4 linked regions of the Arabidopsis thaliana genome follow. The main gene of each other region encodes a partner of the protein of the gene in region 2 in a complex. Each region holds a gene or a part of one and is shown on either strand. Other genes may lie near its edges.

The links.
Region 1: ARPC1A (region 2) and AT5G65274 share a complex: the UniProt entries of both Arabidopsis thaliana proteins name them as parts of the arp2/3 complex.
Region 3: ARPC1A (region 2) and CRK share a complex: the UniProt entries of both Arabidopsis thaliana proteins name them as parts of the arp2/3 complex.
Region 4: ARPC1A (region 2) and DIS2 share a complex: the UniProt entries of both Arabidopsis thaliana proteins name them as parts of the arp2/3 complex.

Annotation. Positions count from the first base shown.
Region 1 is NC_003076.8:26,083,384-26,086,460, reverse strand, and holds AT5G65274 (ARP2/3 complex 16 kDa subunit (p16-Arc)), read right to left. Parts: upstream 1,162-3,077; coding exon 1,064-1,161; intron 986-1,063; coding exon 913-985; intron 869-912; exon of another isoform or gene 823-868; coding exon 722-822; exon of another isoform or gene 637-721; coding exon 501-636; downstream 1-500. Other genes in the region: GCL1 (GCR2-like 1), read left to right, coding at 1-332; RABA4a (RAB GTPase homolog A4A), read right to left, coding at 1,911-2,358, 2,792-3,024. UniProt on the Arabidopsis thaliana protein: Functions as a component of the Arp2/3 complex which is involved in regulation of actin polymerization and together with an activating nucleation-promoting factor (NPF) mediates the formation of branched actin networks.
Region 2 is NC_003071.7:13,150,944-13,157,532, forward strand, and holds ARPC1A (actin-related protein C1A), read left to right. Parts: upstream 1-1,845; 5' UTR 1,846-1,954; intron 1,955-2,229; exon of another isoform or gene 2,230-2,295; 5' UTR 2,296-2,503; coding exon 2,504-2,573; intron 2,574-2,943; coding exon 2,944-3,032; intron 3,033-3,227; coding exon 3,228-3,304; intron 3,305-3,407; coding exon 3,408-3,502; intron 3,503-3,618; coding exon 3,619-3,688; intron 3,689-3,946; coding exon 3,947-4,016; intron 4,017-4,251; coding exon 4,252-4,325; coding exon of another isoform or gene 4,326-4,344; intron 4,345-4,412; coding exon 4,413-4,455; intron 4,456-4,552; coding exon of another isoform or gene 4,553-4,576; coding exon 4,577-4,658; intron 4,659-4,793; coding exon 4,794-4,882; intron 4,883-4,976; coding exon 4,977-5,062; intron 5,063-5,219; coding exon 5,220-5,283; intron 5,284-5,482; coding exon 5,483-5,583; intron 5,584-5,705; coding exon 5,706-5,764; intron 5,765-5,858; coding exon 5,859-5,926; 3' UTR 5,927-6,089; downstream 6,090-6,589. Other genes in the region: TBL43 (TRICHOME BIREFRINGENCE-LIKE 43), read left to right, coding at 316-493, 584-759, 848-1,006, 1,171-1,474; COQ3 (coenzyme Q 3), read right to left, coding at 6,466-6,585. UniProt on the Arabidopsis thaliana protein: Functions as a component of the Arp2/3 complex which is involved in regulation of actin polymerization and together with an activating nucleation-promoting factor (NPF) mediates the formation of branched actin networks.
Region 3 is NC_003075.7:734,033-737,465, forward strand, and holds CRK (ARP2/3 complex 16 kDa subunit (p16-Arc)), read left to right. Parts: upstream 1-1,620; 5' UTR 1,621-1,743; coding exon 1,744-1,832; intron 1,833-1,914; coding exon 1,915-1,987; intron 1,988-2,057; coding exon 2,058-2,158; intron 2,159-2,282; coding exon 2,283-2,418; 3' UTR 2,419-2,933; downstream 2,934-3,433. Other genes in the region: AT4G01703 (uncharacterized protein), read right to left, coding at 220-333. UniProt on the Arabidopsis thaliana protein: Functions as a component of the Arp2/3 complex which is involved in regulation of actin polymerization and together with an activating nucleation-promoting factor (NPF) mediates the formation of branched actin networks.
Region 4 is NC_003070.9:10,958,924-10,963,739, forward strand, and holds DIS2 (Arp2/3 complex, 34 kD subunit p34-Arc), read left to right. Parts: upstream 1-1,984; 5' UTR 1,985-2,182; coding exon 2,183-2,244; intron 2,245-2,434; coding exon 2,435-2,501; intron 2,502-2,594; coding exon 2,595-2,802; intron 2,803-2,897; coding exon 2,898-3,055; intron 3,056-3,158; coding exon 3,159-3,236; intron 3,237-3,314; coding exon 3,315-3,447; intron 3,448-3,543; coding exon 3,544-3,635; intron 3,636-3,761; coding exon 3,762-3,818; intron 3,819-3,888; coding exon 3,889-3,954; intron 3,955-4,040; coding exon 4,041-4,076; 3' UTR 4,077-4,308; downstream 4,309-4,816. UniProt on the Arabidopsis thaliana protein: Functions as actin-binding component of the Arp2/3 complex which is involved in regulation of actin polymerization and together with an activating nucleation-promoting factor (NPF) mediates the formation of branched actin networks.

The sequences.
Region 1 (3,077 bases), on a different chromosome or scaffold from region 2:
CCAAGGAAAGGGATTTCCGCGAAGCAGCCATTGAAGCAGGAGAAGTAGTGTGGAAGAGTGGCTTGGTGAAGAAGGTAGGTTTAGCTGATGGAGTTGCTGGTAATGCCTACGCTTTCTTATCCCTTTATCGCTTAACCGGAGATGTTGTATATGAAGAGAGAGCAAAAGCGTTTGCGAGTTACTTGTGCCGTGATGCGATAGAGCTCGTGAATATGACAAGCCAAGAAACAGAACATGATTATTCGCTATTCCGGGGACTAGCTGGACCAGTATGCCTCTGGTTCGATCTTGTGTCGCCGGTAGATTCTAAGTTTCCTGGTTATGAGATATAATTTAAAACCAGGTAACCGTAGGTTCTTTTATGACTATCTCTTTGTGAAAGGATCTTAGGTTCTCCGGTTTATTCCACTTTCTATAATCTATTGAAGTAACTTGAGATTTGGGAGAAACATTCATAGAAAACAAGAATAAAAGTAACATGAAAAGATCAGCTTAATGGTTTAAACGGTATTGGTAGTATCACTCAGACAACGGAGAATGCAACCGAGACCAGCTCTCTCTGTTAGTTTCTCGTGAATCATCAAACACTGTTCGCATGTGGGTTCGTCACCAGTCGAAAGACCTCTGTACAAGTACCTGATCCACACCATTTAAGCAAACAAAACACTGCTTCCACATCACGCTAATTAAAAGCTAGCAGAGCAAAAGGCAAGAGACTTACTTCATGAGAATGTCGTAATACTCGGCAGTAAGAGAATTTAACATTCCTTCGATATCCTTTATCGCCATGATAGCTCTGTGCACAACTATCCAATTAGCTGACTGCAATTTCACAGATATTTATCATAAATTACACAATCTTTTTGATCATGAACAAACTACTTATGTGCATGGTAGAGGAAACAGTAGGACCTTGCAACGTTCGTCGAGAGTTTTAGGTGGCGAACCATCAAGAGCCGTTTTAAGAGCTTCGACATGTTTGTAGCTGAATAAAACGAAGTAACAATTATAGCCTAGGTCATCTGAGAAAGTTGGAAGAAAAAAGGAACTTTAGGGTTATTACTGTTTGAGTAAGCTTTCAATCTTCTGCGATTTGGTTTCGATCCTTGCCATTATTTCCTCTGCATTATCAGCTTCAACAAATGCTGCTGCACCAGCCATTGGATCTCTCTCTTTCTCTACACTCTCCAGCAAAATTATCTAAAACCTAATCAATTAATTTCATTTCTTCATTCAAATCGACAACTTGCTGCATAAGAAACATATGATTTGAGTTTACTAACCAAAGGAGGCAATGCAAAACTTGTCATCCCCATAAAAAGCTAAAAAGAGAAGTAACAATCACGACAAAATCAATTCTAATCACGTAAAACAATCCATTGCCGATGGTACGCAGATTTCTCACATCATATCAGATCAGTAATCCTGAACTTTCTGATCAAATCATACAAGATTGAAGAATCAAGCAGGATTCGAAGATTACCTGAAATTAGAGAGAATAAAGCAATCGAGTGGTAAAACGGCCGAGTGAGAATTTATCAGAACTGTGATACCAATTATTAAAATCGGATGCTTCAGTTTTTAATTTTTACTTTTTCACATTGACGTAACAAGAGAAATAGAAAAGTTGTTATTGCTGGTATATATTTGTAATTAACAAAAATGTAACAATAATCTTACAAATGTAGAGAGAATAAAAACATGTTGATCAAATTAATATCCAATTTTTAAGATCAAATTAAGATCGGTTTGTTATACTTGGATTCAACACCCCAAAACCCCACAAAAACTGCTCATTAAGCAACAAATGAATCACACAGCTCTAGATAGGAGAAATATCCCAATCAGAGTCTTTAAAACATCTATATATTGTTGTTATCAAGTAACATTCAAGAATTGAATTGGTTTATCTAAGAGTTACAACACATGTTACTCTTGTTTGGTATCACTTGACCAGGACCTGGAACAATATCAATCTTCTTACCAGCAAGCGACCCGGGATTACCATTCTCTTGATCTTCACTCGCAGCCAGACTTTTCTTGTTCACAATGTTGAAGATCTCAGTCAAAACCGTGGAGAAAGCGCTCTCAACATTGGTTGCGTTAAATGCAGATGTCTCCAAGAAGAACAAACCTTCTTTCTCCGCAAATTCTTTCGCATCTTCTGTCGGTATAGCTCGTTGATCCACAAGATCTGACTTGTTCCCAATAAGGATTATCACAATGTTCTTATCTGCATGAGCACGTAGTTCTTCTAACCATCTTGGGATATGGTCAAAGGTTTGGCGTCTGGTTATGTCATACACCAACATCGCCCCAACCGCTCCTCGGTAATATGCACTTGTTACTGCTCTGTATCTGTTTCAACCAATACCACACATATAGAAAGATATACAATGTAAGCATATGATAAGCATGAAATGTGGTGGTTAGCTTACTCATTAAAGATCAGTGAATGTATAAAGTTGATGAAGCATCACTGGGAAATGTATAACAAAAGTGTCCAAATTTGTACCAATCATAAAATTATAGAAGCTTAATAACATTGGAATAGTAATATACATAATTCTAGTCTATACATAATTTTGAAATCCCAATCCCAAATTCTCAATGATTCTACCATTTTACTTCAGATCCTCCCAATTTCGTATACAGATCAGTAAGCTTTACTAGAATTCGAAATCCTAAGCAGACCTATCATCTTCCAGATCTAGAGAAACAGTAAAATCTTACGAGATCTAAGTTCAAGCAATTGAAGTAGCTAAAAGTTCCGGGAGAGGTCGGAGATTACCGTTCTTGGCCGGCGGTATCCCAGATCTGAGCCTTAACACTCTTGTGATCGATAACAAGCGTCCGAGTCTGAAACTCAACGCCGATGGTGGCCTTAGAATCCAAACTGAATTCGTCTCTAGCATAACGAGCCAGTATCTGTGATTTCCCAACCGCGGAATCGCCGATCAACACCACTTTGAACACATAATCAATCTTCTGCGACGGATCTCCGTATCCTCCTCCACTAGTCATCTTCTTCAACGTCTCTCTCTCGCTAAATCCTCTCTTGCTAAATCCTCTGTTTT
Region 2 (6,589 bases):
CGTCTTTAGTATTTCTTGAGGGGGATTAATAGGTTTTTAATTAGGATTTATTATTGGATTCAAATCCCCTTTTATGTCGCATATAAGTTCATATGTAACTATGTAAGAATGTTATAGAATTTAGTAACCGAAGCAGCTGGTACATAAATCCATAACTATCATTTATTGGAATAAAACTGTTACAAAGACAATAAGTCACAAAATGTTACAAATTAACGGAAGTACCCAACCATTTTGTGGTAAATTATTAAACGTGAATATTTTCTCCTATGAATGATATAGAAGTGTTAAATTGATTAATGATGAATGGTGCAGATTCAACGGCTTAGATTTTCTGGGAAGGATAATGAAAGGGAAGAAACTGATGTTCGTAGGAGATTCACTGAGTCTAAACCAATGGCAATCTCTCACGTGTTTGCTCCACAACGCCGCACCAAAAGCCAATTCCACATCCACACGTTCCCCTTCTGGCCTCTCCGTCTTCTCATTCCCCGTAACGTTTTCTAACTTTATCAAACTCGTTCCGGTATTGATCCGGTTTAATAATTCTGGTTCGGTTCGTATTTAAATGCATGCAATGCAGGCTTACAATTCTTCGATTATGTTTTCAAGAAACGCGTTTCTTGTGGATATAGTCGGAGCCCCACCGAAGCGAGTGATGAAGCTTGACTCAATCTCGAGTGGTTCGTTGTGGAAAACCGCAGACGTTTTGGTCTTCAACTCTTGGCATTGGTGGCTTCACACAGACCGAAAACAACCGTAAAATCATCTTTATGTCGTCAAACATATTTTGCTATGGACTATGGACTTATTAGTATCTAACTAATGTAATCATTTGGGGTTGCAGATGGGACGCAATTATGTCCGGGAATGTAACGGTTAAAGACATGGACCGGTTAGTGGCATATGAGAAAGCAATGATGACTTGGGCTAAGTGGATTGATCAAAATATTGATCCTTCCAAAACCAAAGTCTTCTTCCAAGGTATTTCTCCGGACCATGGCCGGTAAGTTCTACCTCTATATAACTTCTTTTTTATTCGATACATACATTAAATCAACGATAAAAACTTAACACGATTGATATATGTTGGATTAGTCTATAAGTTTTCGTTAGAACCAAATAATTTCATGTTGATATTGTTAACAATAATGGTACATAATGTTACAGGGCAAGGGAATGGTCGAAACAAGGTGGCAAAGGCAGTTGCATAGGAGAAACAAAGCCGATTATGGGATCGAGTTACCTGGCTGGGCCGCACGCAGCCGAGATGGTGGTGGCGAAAGTGATAAAGACGATGAAGAATCAGGCGCGGTTAATGGATGTGACATTGATGTCTCAGCTAAGGAAAGATGGACATCCTTCAGTATACGGTTTTGGCGGTCACAGAATGGCGGATTGTAGCCATTGGTGTCTCTCTGGAGTCCCGGATAGCTGGAACCAGCTCTTGTATTCTGAGCTGTTTCATTCTTAAAATTTTGATGGTTTTGACACAAAACTAAATTCATTATATGATTTATACATTTATTTATGACCTAACCATGTTTGTGTTGTTTTACACATTTATTTTATGTCATAAACATGTTTATTTAGAATTTCAAATTCATTTGTCAACCAAAATGTTTAAATGAGAACAAGATTCTTTGACTGGTCGAACAATTTATAAGAGAAGAATTTGCAAGAATATAACCTTATGATCTCGTTATAATTGAATGGACTAAATATGTGTCCTGAATCTCTAAGTGAGAGATTAGAGGAAGACCAAAACTAGAAGTAAACCTTATTCCACGAGAGGGGATAACTAGCGTAGCTTATATAATAACTTTGTACAATGATTTGGGGTTAAGTTATTTTTGGATTATGCTAAATCAAAATCTAATATAGTGGTGCAAGCCCCTTGACTTGGGTCAATGATTCAAAAGCTTATACAAAAAAAAAAACGAAAAAACTAATAGTAAAACATTACTTTAGAAAAAAGTTACTAATCAATATTTTTTTAAAAATTTCAGATTACTTTATAAGTTACTCTATACTCATAGACTCATAGTGAGATATAGTTCTATTTTTACATGGATGAATTGGATCGAATCCATTTATCTACATTAATGTATTTAACTAATGCAGAACTTAAGCCTTTTATCGGAAAAAACAAAAACAAAACTAATGCAGATTACAGAACTATAGATTTAAAAATAAAAATAATTCGATTTTTTCCTTATTATTATGCTGGTTTGCCCAAAAATAAAGGTCCAAGTAAAACTGAAATTGATCTGGTCATAAAAATTGGGGCTTTAGTAAAAAAAAAAAAAAAAAAAAAAACATCTGTCTCTTTCACTTCACGTTTGCGACTGTGTCGTCGTCCACCTCCGGATCTCATCGGCGTTTCATCATAATTATCTGTCCATCTATTCACCGTACGACTCCGTTTTAGGAATCTGTGGATGTCAATTTGAGAGAAAAGACTGTCTTCATTACAACACATTTGGGACAACAAGGATCACTCATGGCAGTGGTGGATGTTCATCGTTTCGCTGAGTCAATCACTTGCCATGCTTGGAGTCCTGATCTCTCCAGTATGTTTCTAACACCTCTCTGATTTTGTGATTCTCTTCTTTCTCTCTTCCGTCGTTTTTTCCGTTTTAGAATTATAAATGAGGAGGATCTATCTATAGTTAGTTTGGCTGGGAAGATAGATAGATGATACAACTAAATTGACTTGTGTTATTCTTATACATCTTGGTAATCAAATTTCTTCGAGTCAATGTTTTATATGTCTGTTTGTCGGTGTCTCTTGTTAGGAACACTTGGTATCTAGTATTGTACATTAGTAGATGCGCTTTTCTAAACAGATGAACCAAATCTATTGTTACAAATGATTTAACGTCTGTACTAAAGCCTGTAACCATTTATGTGCTTTGACATTTGTTTCGTTTTTCTTGGTAGTGGTTGCTCTCTGTCCTAACAACACTGAAGTTCATATCTATAAATCATTGTCTCAAGACCACTGGGAGAGGTTACATGTCCTCCAAAAGGTGAAACCTTTCTCTCTCCCTCTCTTTCTGTAACTTTTGAACTTGCATTCCTTTTGCTTTCTCTTCTTGGGAATTCCTTACTTTCGTATATTTATGTATTCTCATTTCACTGATCACTTGTCGCTGATAAGTGTTGTATAGACAGCTTGAATCTCCCTTACAACAACTTCATGATTATTGTTCGTCTTGTTGCAGCATGACCAAATTGTTTCTGGAATAGATTGGAGCTCAAAGTCCAACAAAATCGTCACTGTTTCTCATGACAGGAACTCGTAAGTTGCTACCTTTGATATACTTTGAGAAACTCCAAACCTGTTAATCTTAGTCCTTCACTTTTTTTCGTTCGTTGAACTGAGTTTAGAATGCTTCTTGAAGGTACGTCTGGAGCCTGGAAGGAGCTGAATGGGTACCAACTCTCGTTATTCTTAGACTAAATCGTGCTGCACTTTGTGTCCAATGGAGCCCCAAAGGTAAATGTTTAATTTTTCTGGTTCTTAAGCTTAATTTCCGTAATATGTAGTGTAATTTTCCTATAATTTCTACAGCTTCTAATCTATGTTCTCATCTTTTTGCTCAATACCCATAGAGAACAAGTTTGCTGTTGGAAGTGGTGCTAAAACTGTTTGTATTTGCTATTATGAGCAAGAGAATAACTGGTATTTTCTTCTTCTGCTCCTAATTCTCATTATTAGTCCTTGATTTTTTCTTTGGCAAGTTTCCTGACTTCTTTGCTACGAATGGTGTTGTTGGTCTATGTAATGATATTATTTTGTCTTATGTACTGGCATGATATTAGCACCAATCATATTTTTTATTATCTTGGCATGCATAACTGTGTATTGTTTAGAGATTTTAGAAAGATACTTTCATGTAAACTTTTAGTATCTGACATTGCTTGGCTTTACTGTTTTCAGGTGGGTCAGTAAGCTAATCCGGAAAAGGCACGAATCTTCAGTCACATCTGTTGCTTGGCATCCTAATAATGTACGTGCAATCAACAGAACCTCTTGTAGTTCATGTAGTTAAAATAATAAGCAGGCTCTCTGTAAAAGCATTCTCTACCAAAAATATTCTATAAGTTGGCCACCAGATTGAGTATAGAGTACATGATCCCTAAAAATAGAATATCAATCTCCACAAACTAGTTAATCTTCTAAATCATTTTTTCTCGTATGCTTTTTTATGTTGCTGTGCTCTCTGATTGTCTGTTATGCATTAGGTTCTTCTGGCAACGACATCAACAGATGGAAAATGTCGGGTATTTTCAACATTTATCAAAGGAGTTGACACAAAGTATGCTCATTACTTGAACGTCTACTTTTAAAACATTTTTTCAAACATGAGGCCGTTTCTTATTTGTCTTTCAATGGGCTGATACAGGGATTCAAAAGCAGGCTCACCAGCGGAAACGAAATTTGGGGAGGTTTGACTCGTTTGGCTGGCTTTCCTTCTTTTAGTAAATAGTATACCACTTCTGCCATATATATGTTCCCTCTACTCACTCTCTTATCTAATGTTAGGGAGCTTTTTTTCTGTTGAAACAGCAAATTCTTCAGCTTGATCTCTCATATTCTTGGGCATTTGGTGTTAAATGGTCTCCAAGTGGAAACACCTTAGCTTATGTAGGTCAGAATATCCTTAAAACTTAAGATGTTTGTCCATTGAGCTCTACTGGAATTATAAAAATGGAACTTCACCTTGGTTGCATAATTTTTACTACACTCCGTCTCACTTCCCTTGTTCATGCAATCTTGTTTATAGGTCATAGCTCCATGATTTACTTTGTTGATGATGTTGGTCCTTCTCCTTTAGCCCAAAGCGTTGCATTTCGAGATTTGCCTCTTCGTGATGTGGGTCAGCATCCACTCTTTTTTTTCTTTTGAGAAAGTGTTCTCATGTGTTATATCCTGAATTGATATATTATCGGGAACTTGCTATCTTCAGGTCCTGTTTATTTCTGAGAAAATGGTGATAGGCGTGGGATATGACAGCAACCCGATGGTATTTGCCTCAGATGATACTGGAATATGGTGTGTAACTCTTAGTTTTCTCTTTCTTAGCTATTTCCAGACAATCAAATACTTCAATTCATTAATTCTCCTTAGCTCTCAGGCCGGATAGTTATTTCTGAAATCATCCACACACCGATGATTGCCTTGTTTACAAGTTTTTGTTTATGGTCTGCAGGAGCTTTATCAGATACATCGGAGAGAAGAAAGCAGCATCTTCAAATTCCAGTTACAGTTCGCAGGTACATACCATGTTTTCTTTCTTGAATAAAATATGAGTGAACTTAGCTTATTCCTGAAGTGTTCCTCTAAGATAGTAGTAATCTTTCGGGTTAGTGTAGTTGCTCCTTTTTTCTCCTTGGGTTTACTACTTTGAACTTTCCACTTGCATTATTTGTACTGTTTTGTCTAATCCTTTTTTTCATTATGTTATCTTTTCAGTTTTCTGAAGCATTTGGAAAATTCTACGGCAGTCAATCAAAGTCCACAACAGCCAACGATGCTTCTGAATCACGTGGAGGTGTTCATGATAACTGCATAAAGTAATTATTTCTTAAGCTAACTTTTCTTTTACCAAATCATTTGCCAGAAACCTGCCTCATTAACTCTTTTACTTCGATTGTCTATTAAGAACCTGACATGGAAGGTTACCTGAAAATTGCAGTTCCATTGTGTCTCTGAGCAAAGCAGGGAGTCCTAAAGTAATGCGATTCAGCACTTCAGGTCAGTCACTAATACAAAATGGAATTAGCCGATTCAGTTCTCAAAAAACAAACCAGCAGTTTCATTTACTCGCATAACGGTTTGTTATTTATAGGATTGGATGGCAAAGTTGCCATATGGGATCTGGAGAACATGGAACAAGAACTTGGCAATCAGTTTTAATAAACACACAAATAAAACAATTCTGGCTCACAAGCAAGGTTTTACTTAAGTTTAAACTACTTTTTCAATTTCGTAATTGTTTCACTTTGTAAACTGCCACAATAAAAGGCCTTATTTTCTTGGTTTGTGTAAGGGCAGGTATTAATAAGTTTCTTGGCTTCATGATTTGATTCATTTAGTTAGCATCTTGTAATACCTTTTATATATAGTAATATCAGCTTTGTGTCGAAAGGAGTCCATATTGAACCAAACACAACAATTTCGCAAAATTTTCAAGTTCTTGAGAAGAAGCAAAAAGCTTTGGTCCTCCGAACTATGCCATATTTACCACAAAACGAGATATCGACAAACATTAATCTTCTATCAGATGACAGAAGTGTGATTCAGAAGACCAAATATTCTTTGAATGTTTCTCACTTATTGCAAAACAACTACTGTCCTCGTCCTAAGCAACTTCCAGAGTACCTAGTTTTTAAAGCATGAACTAGAGTTGTAACTCAGAAGCAGATATGCAGAGAAACACGACTTGGAACGATTGATTATATGTCTCCAAGATCCTTCCTTTTCGTCCCATAAGCAATATAGTTGACACTAATATCATCTGACAATAACCATCTTCCTGTTATTGGGTTGTACACAAATCCAGCTATCTCTTTCACCTGC
Region 3 (3,433 bases), on a different chromosome or scaffold from region 2:
TTGAGAGAAATATTAGCAATGAAAACAAAACTATCAAAGAATTGTTTTTGAAGTTAAAAAATATAAAATTTCAAAGTTCGAGGTCGGTGGCTAACTAACATGAAAAGCGCCGAGCAACTTGTGATATGTACGAGTTGGACCAAGTCGTGACGACTTTTTTAATAAGCTTAAGATCCAATTATTTCTCAAGAAAAACAGTAAAACGTACGCCAACATATATTAACTACGACGACAAAATTCTTGGCCTTTAAGAAAGACTAGTACACGATCAATCCCAACGATTAAACCAGCAGACGAGTAACCATATGTAGGGTACGAGTTTCTCAACCACATCTCCAACTTTTCAGTAGACGATCTAATTATGTTTAACCACTAGAAGCCGACACCATAAACATCCATCCGAGGTTATCGTCTTTCGAAGAGTTCCTAACGAGCATTCATGAAACATCATTCTCACTTCTCCTCCCACTAAACCGACTTTTTTCGGATGTTATTTCAAATTTGGTTAATTGCTAAATGATTGACCATTAATTCGACCACGTGATTACACAAAGAGACGTTTAGATCCACTACATTGGTGCGATGTGAAGTGATCACCATGCTTTAGTTTACACGTCCACTTTATATAGGTTTGGCAGTTAAAAAAAAGAAGTTTTATACATAGTTCTATCAAGTGGTCTTAGACCGAATCTTGGCAATATATTTGTTATAAGACTACCAATATCATTAATGATTAGAGAAAGTTAATGTTAAGTTTCATCAGATTCTAATTTAAAACCAATGGGTAATGATTGGATTGGTTGTGTTCCATATATACTAGTGTTAGCACTTAGCAGTCATGAGTGTGTTTACTCCATTTATAGTATACTTTCGATGTAGGATCCTAATTAGAATGATAAAGAAACATTCCAAAAGAGTATTATCAAAATGCTCTTCGTCTATCCATACAAATATAATGAGATTTGGGCAGAAACAACCATTTTGTTAACATATTAGGGTCGAGCGCAGAAAAAAATATATTTTGACCTGTGTTAATAAAATAGAATAGGTTGCGATTTTAATTAAGGAGGTTAATAAATTAAAATCGTAAAAATGATACCAAAATGGTAACAAAATCGTAAAGAAAAGTTCATTAGTATAAATATAAAAAATTCGGTCCAACAAATATTACTATTAAAAATTTATAAGAGAGATTTATAATAAAAAAAAAATTGTTATACCAAGAAAGAAAAGGAGATTCTTGTATTGTAACCCGTTTGTGTGTCTTTTTTAGTCTCAGATTTGTTTTAATTTTCTATGACTTAGGATTTGTAAGTCTTTTTTGGATTTCTAGAACCTGATCGAGGAAATTTCAATGAATATAGTGTAATTGGTTTGTTTGGATTTTGTTCCCTTTGTTTACCTTGTTTGGTATTTGGCTTCGGGAGTGTTCTTGTACTCATCGGCTTATGTCTCCGGAAGTGGTTTGTACTTGCCGGCTCTTGTATTTCAACTTGAATCCTATCGATGAAAATCCTATTGACAAAAAATGAAAAAAAAAATGAAGCTTCCATCATCCATCATTCAGTGGCAGCATAAGCATTTAAGACTACGTGCCGTTTAAGGCCAAGACAAACGGCACTCAGTTCCCTTTTGAAATGGTCAAATGGCGATTGAGTTGTTTTCCTCTCTCTCTCTCATTTTTTCAATTAAAGAAGGGAAAGAGGGGAAATCTCTGATCGGAGAGAAAGATCGAATCGAAGAATGGCAGAATTCGTTGAAGCTGATAACGCAGAAGCAATAATCGCGAGGATCGAAACCAAATCGAGGAAGATTGAAAGCCTACTCAAACAGTAATATCAGACCTTGGAGCTAAACCCTAAAGTCTTCTTTTGTTTTTGGTTTAATCCCTTATCGGTGTTTTAATGTGTGCAGGTACAAACATGTAGAAGCTTTGAAAACGGCTCTTGAAGGTTCGCCTCCGAAAACTCGCGATGAACGTTGCAAGGTCTCTCTCTTTCCGAAACCATCTTTTTTTTTTTTTTTGATTTACTGAGCCAAAAAAAACTCAACTGCAGTCGGCTAATTGGATAGTTGTGCACAGAGCTTTAATGGCCATTAAGGATATTGACGGAATGCTCAATGCTCTTGATGTCGAATATTACGACATTCTCATGAAGTAAGTGCAAAGTTGGTTTTTTTTTTTTTTGCTGTAATGCGTTTTGTAATATGTATGAATTGGAAAGCTCTATCCTCAGGCTGTCTGTGCTCTTTGATAGAATGTTTTTGCTTAAAATTCTCAGGTACTTGTACAGAGGACTTTCTACTGGGGACCGACCCACCTGCGATCAGTGCCTGAAGATTCACGAGAAACTCACTGAGAGAGCTGGTCTCGGTTGCATTCTCCGATGTCTTACTGATACCATCAACACCGTTTGATCCATCATTCCCTCTTATGTATTATTACTTGATGCCTTGATGTTTCCAATGTGCATATTCTCCTTGAGGAACCATGTCTCACATTTATCAGTTTTAGACTTGTATTTTCATTACCAAACAGTTGCTTGATAAATGATAACACAAGTCATTCCTAGAGCTCATGTGTAACATAATTCCCGGATCAGCTGAATCATAAATACGAAGACCAAGTTGTGATTAAGTAATTTTAGGGGGGTGTATTGAAACCAGAATCTTTTAGAAGATTTGGTGGAATTTGCATTCTTCTACAGACCAAATCCATTCTCGATTTTGCCGGTGAAGAACAGAGACCGAAAGCTTTTTTCATGGAAGACGAGGGGAGGAGGACAATGAGAATATGTCGCAGAGATTTTCTGTGAATCTTTTTTTAAATCAAATCGTTCAGAATAACACCTACAGGTGAGATTTTTTCATGCTTATTTTCAACTAAATTTTTTTGCCTAAGTCTCCCAGAATCAATGTTAAATGTTTTTAATGAAATTGTTTTGTTGAGTTTAGATAACAGTGGATTTAAGATGTGTTTTATAAATTCTTGAATGAATAACAGAAGATTATAGATTCTTTTGAGTGATTTTATATAAATTCCAATTTCAATAACAAAGGATTTGAGAAAAAAATTACAAATCACAAGTTGAATACAACCATTCCTGATTCACTGAATGTTCATAACTCGAAGGCCCAATATCGAACTCAGCCCATTGAAACTAAATTCATTTCTAAACTTTCAATGTAAATGCACTCGTCATACAAGAGTAAATGTTCACATAGTTAGTCATTGATTTAAACAATTTTACTCTTTAGATTTTTAAAATTTTATAGGATTGTAATAAACCAGGTTGAATTCAAATGTCAAATAGCGTTAAATAAAAGTTTAGATCTTTTTTTTTTTTTTTTTTTTTTTTATCAACGTTAGTACAAGAAGAAACAAGAGCAGCTTTTGCCAAAGCATCAGCTTGATCAACGTTTCCTTATAAAA
Region 4 (4,816 bases), on a different chromosome or scaffold from region 2:
ATATACATAGAAGTATTTTATATTATATAGACGTATATTAGTCACTTTATTGACGTTTACAGAATATGAAAAAATGATGGGCCTTCGCAATTGTACGTACTCGACAACATGCGTGGCGATGACTCACCTTATCCATATTTGATATTACTTTTTCTAGTACTCCTTGTTTTTACATCACTTTCTGGTAATATTTAATTAGAAATTTAGAACCCTAGACTTTGACACGGTAAATTTTAATAATAATAATATATAGTTGTATTAGAACAGTTAAGAAGTCTCACGAGTTCATAATCAGTTTTGCTTACTAGCTAACTGTATAAATAATTATGCTGGAATCTAACAATTCAAAATTAACTTTGCTTGAGAGTTTTATACCAAACACAAAAGTACAATTTAGTCTAGACTCTAGAAAAGATAAATTCTTATTGCGAAAAATAAAAATTGCAATATATATACAATAGAAGTTTTGGGAGGGATGGTTTGGAAGTTTTAACTATCTCCATGACTCGACATATAAAAATGTAAATATCATTGTTCAGCTAAATGAGCTACCATCGATTAGTTAAAAATAACATTCTTTTACGTCAACCAATCTATGGTTTAGGGGTTAAAATTTTCACTCTCAATATAAGAGGAAAGGTTTAAGTTTTTATCAAAGTTTTCCGGTTATAGAAATAACGTACGTACGACTGTTTTCTTTTTCTGCTTTTTTCAGATTTTCTAAAATCAGTACTTGGTCTTATATATAGATCGATATGCAAATATGCAATGGCGAAGATACGTCCCTAGCGGCTCCTCTTTTGCCAAGACCATGTCACGATCTATCTTACAAACGTTACTCATTTTACTATATCTACTTTTTTCTCCCTAATATAAATATAACTTCGCATATTTATTCATGAATATTTATGCTAAGAAAAGCCATCACATGCATTTATAGTATGTAAGCTTATGTCGATGCAGTAGGACCATATCCGTATATATGTGTGTGCGTATAGATACGTGAGATAGTTTTGCTTTTGAGGCTCCTTCATCTCTCACATCCGTCTGCCCACGATCAATTTCAAAATAGACAATTTTAAAGCTAAAAAATAATAATTTCTTTTTATATGTAGATGTAGCTTTCATATCTAACCTAAAAATATTTGTCGTCAAAGTAAAAAAACTTAATAAGAATATTATTTAAAGAGCTTTAAACTAATATTAACTATAAATCGTTCGTATACTATTGTTCGTTAAATTACATTTAGAGACTATACTAGTCTACTTTAATATCAATAAAAATAAAAACTTCACATGCATATGTTATTTGTCTTTATCCCACTCTGGCCAATTTAAATTTGAAAATATACGTAGACTTATAGATCAAATATCTTATCTTTTCATTGTTGAAAAAACTAATGTAACATTCTAATTAGTTAAATATCTCCACTTACAAAAAGAAAAGAGCCATATCTTATCCAAATTAATCTCTCAATTTTAAAAGCACACATTAAACGGTCAAATTCCAACTTTTGTTAGATTAAAATATTATGAAGACGTCAGATAATACGAAAACATTGCTCCACTAATTTTTGTCGTTTATTTCCATTCAAATAATCATATATCTGGAATCTAAAATATAAAATATCATTTAATTTACGTGCTTATTTTTTTTTTAAAAACCTTCGTCAGATTACAATCAACATAGCCAGGTATAATCAAAAGCCAGAGAAAAAATAATAATACAAATGTTAAAATCTGAAGGAAAAAAAAAAATCTAGAAAACACTACTAGTTTGCCACTGTCAAAACAAACATACAGATATTTGCAACATTAAATATTTTTGAAACGTTTAAGCTCAAATTGTATATTTATGAAATGGGCTCAGCTTATACTACATAGTATTTACATAATTGGGCCTATGGGCCATTTAAATTCATAAAAAATATAAAGTACAGAAATAACGAAACGGCGTCGTTACACTTAGCTGAGTAGCTGAGTAATAAAATTGAACAAATTAGTAAAATTCCAAAAAGTTATCGAAGAAACGTTCAAGCTGTGACAGAGAATCTCGGTCGTCTTCGTTTGTCTCCGACGAGCTCTCTTTCTTCTCCGATTAGATCCCGTGAGAAGAACTCAAAGGCTCTAGGGTTTCTCTGTGATTCAGTTAACTCCTTTAGATATCGTAAGAAAGTAATCGATGATACTATTGCAGTCACATTCAAGGTTTCTTCTTCAAACGCTATTGACGCGAGCTCAAAAGTAAGTGCTTTTCAATTCTTAATTAGGTACACTCTTAGTTTTACCTAATCTACAATAAGACCCATTTTTTATTTTGGTCGATTTGATTTTGATTTTGTGAAGAAATCTGAAACATTTTGGAAGAACTGGGTTTTGTAGAATGGAACCAAAGTTCAATACTTTGCTTGATTTTGTTTATGTTTTGGTTCAGTCTTGATAAAGCAGTGGAGCTAGATTATCAATGGATTGAATTTGATGATGTTCGTTACCATGTTCAGGTGTGAATTTTATACCAACATTTGAGTATTTGACCTCTGAGATCCATATGATCTTGTTCAATGTTCTGAGACTATATGAATTTTGTTTGATAGGTGACAATGAAGAATCCAAATCTGTTGTTGCTTTCGGTTTCGTTACCAAATCCACCACCTGAAGCAATGTCCTTTGATGGACTTCCTTTAGGAGCTATAGAAGCTATTAAAACCACTTACGGGACAGGTTTTCAAATACTTGATCCTCCTAGAGATGGTTTTAGTTTAACCCTCAAGCTCAATTTCTCTAAAGTTCGTCCTGATGAAGGTTTTTAAACGAGTCTCTTTCTCTAATTGATAAGATGTTGTTTTGATTTAGATGTTGGTTTTGTTCTCTAATAGAAAGTATCTATGTTTTGGCAGAGTTATTAACGAAGCTAGCTTCCATTAGAGAAGTGGTGATGGGTGCACCGTTAAAAATCATTTTCAAGCATTTAGCTTCAAGGACGGTTGCTCCTGAGCTGGATAGGCTTGTAGCAATTATGCATAGACCTAACGAGACGTTTTTCCTCGTGCCTCAGGTATATATATACTCTATAGGTCTTTCGTATGTAGCCATTGAAGTAGGTTCTTATGATTAGTAAGAATCTAGAGAGTGATAGAGAACTTAACTGTGTATCACAGGCGGATAAAGTCACTGTGGCATTTCCTATGAGATTTAAAGACTCCGTAGACACGATTCTGGCGACTTCTTTCCTTAAGGTGACAAAATGATCAAAGCTAAATTTTCAAACAGGTTTTGATTTCTGTAGTACTGAAACTTTGGATATAATGATATAGGAATTTGTAGAGGCGAGGCGTGCTGCTGCGCTTAATACTGCTCCTTCTTGTTCTTGGTCTCCAACCGCACCGCAGGAATTAGAGGGAGCTCCTAAAGAAACACTATCCGCTAATGCCGGTTTTGTAACTTTTGGTATGATCTTTCTAAAATATATTCTGTTCGAACTCAATTTGCATTGGTAGTACCAATCTGAAAGAAACTAACTTTGAGATTATCGATATATCGCAGTCATTTTTCCTCGGCATGTGGAAGGGAAAAAGCTCGATCGTACTGTCTGGAATTTATCGACCTTTCATGCTTATGTTAGTTATCACGTCAAGGTTCATATTCTTTATCGAACTTTCATGTTTTCTACTTTCATATTCTCTAAATACCAGAACTTAGTCTCTCTATCTTAGTATGGATTTGTAAAACTGAGTTTTTGTTCGTTTGTTGTTATATCACAGTTCTCAGAGGGATTTATGCACACCAGGATGCGGCGTCGCGTGGAATCTATGATTCAGGTAAAACACCAAACTCATTACATTCGACTTGGATATGCGTTCTTTAGTTAACAAAATCTTGTTGTCTCAGGCTCTGGATCAAGCTAAGCCATTGGAGAAAACAAGATCGATGAACAACAAGTCATTTAAACGGCTAGTAAGTTGCGAAACAATTTGTTTTTCGACAGACTTTTTCTTTGTTTGTTTGCATTGTTTTTGAGCTTTGTTTCCTCTTCCTCACAGGGACTCAACGAGGTCAATCACACCAACTCGAAGTAGTTGGATTTCTCACGAAGCAATTTTGTAAAAACTTGTGATTAGCTGAGACATGTATTTTTTTTACTGGATTAAGTCTCTGTGATATTTATTTTAGTACAATTCTTTCAGATATTTCTATACATCTGATCTTGCTAAATATTTGAACAAATGTATAATGTGAAAATTGTAAGAAACTCACCTTGATATGGACTGTGTCTGGTCTTGATCTAAACATGGTGTTTTCAACAGAAAATAAAGTTTTTGTTTTGTTTTATAATTGTTTTTACAAAAATGAAGAAGATGAATCTTTATTGTTCTTCAGATTCTCAGATAGTCAAATTAAATGAAGTAATATTCGTACCAACAAATAGTCGTAAAAGTTGATTTTCATATAAAAACAAACGTTCAATTTATCCTTATACACAGATGTATCAAAGATTTGTAGTGATCTAGTAAGGTATAAGAAGAAGATTCAAAGGTCGCACGAGTAAATTAACGATTCCTTCGTAGTATACTTTTGAGGCCCATAAATTATGACTGGGCATATATTGTTAGGTTTCATTGTATCAAAAAATGAAATAAAAAGCAATTAACTGGCTTCGCCCGGGTTCGAACCGGAGACCTTCAGTGTGTTAGACTGACGTGATAACCAACTACACCACGAAACCTTTTTGTCTTCTTGATGTTGGTTTAACATATTCTATCTTCCTTACTGATCACCTTCACATTTTCGCAAACCATTGTATAATCTCTCATTAGCT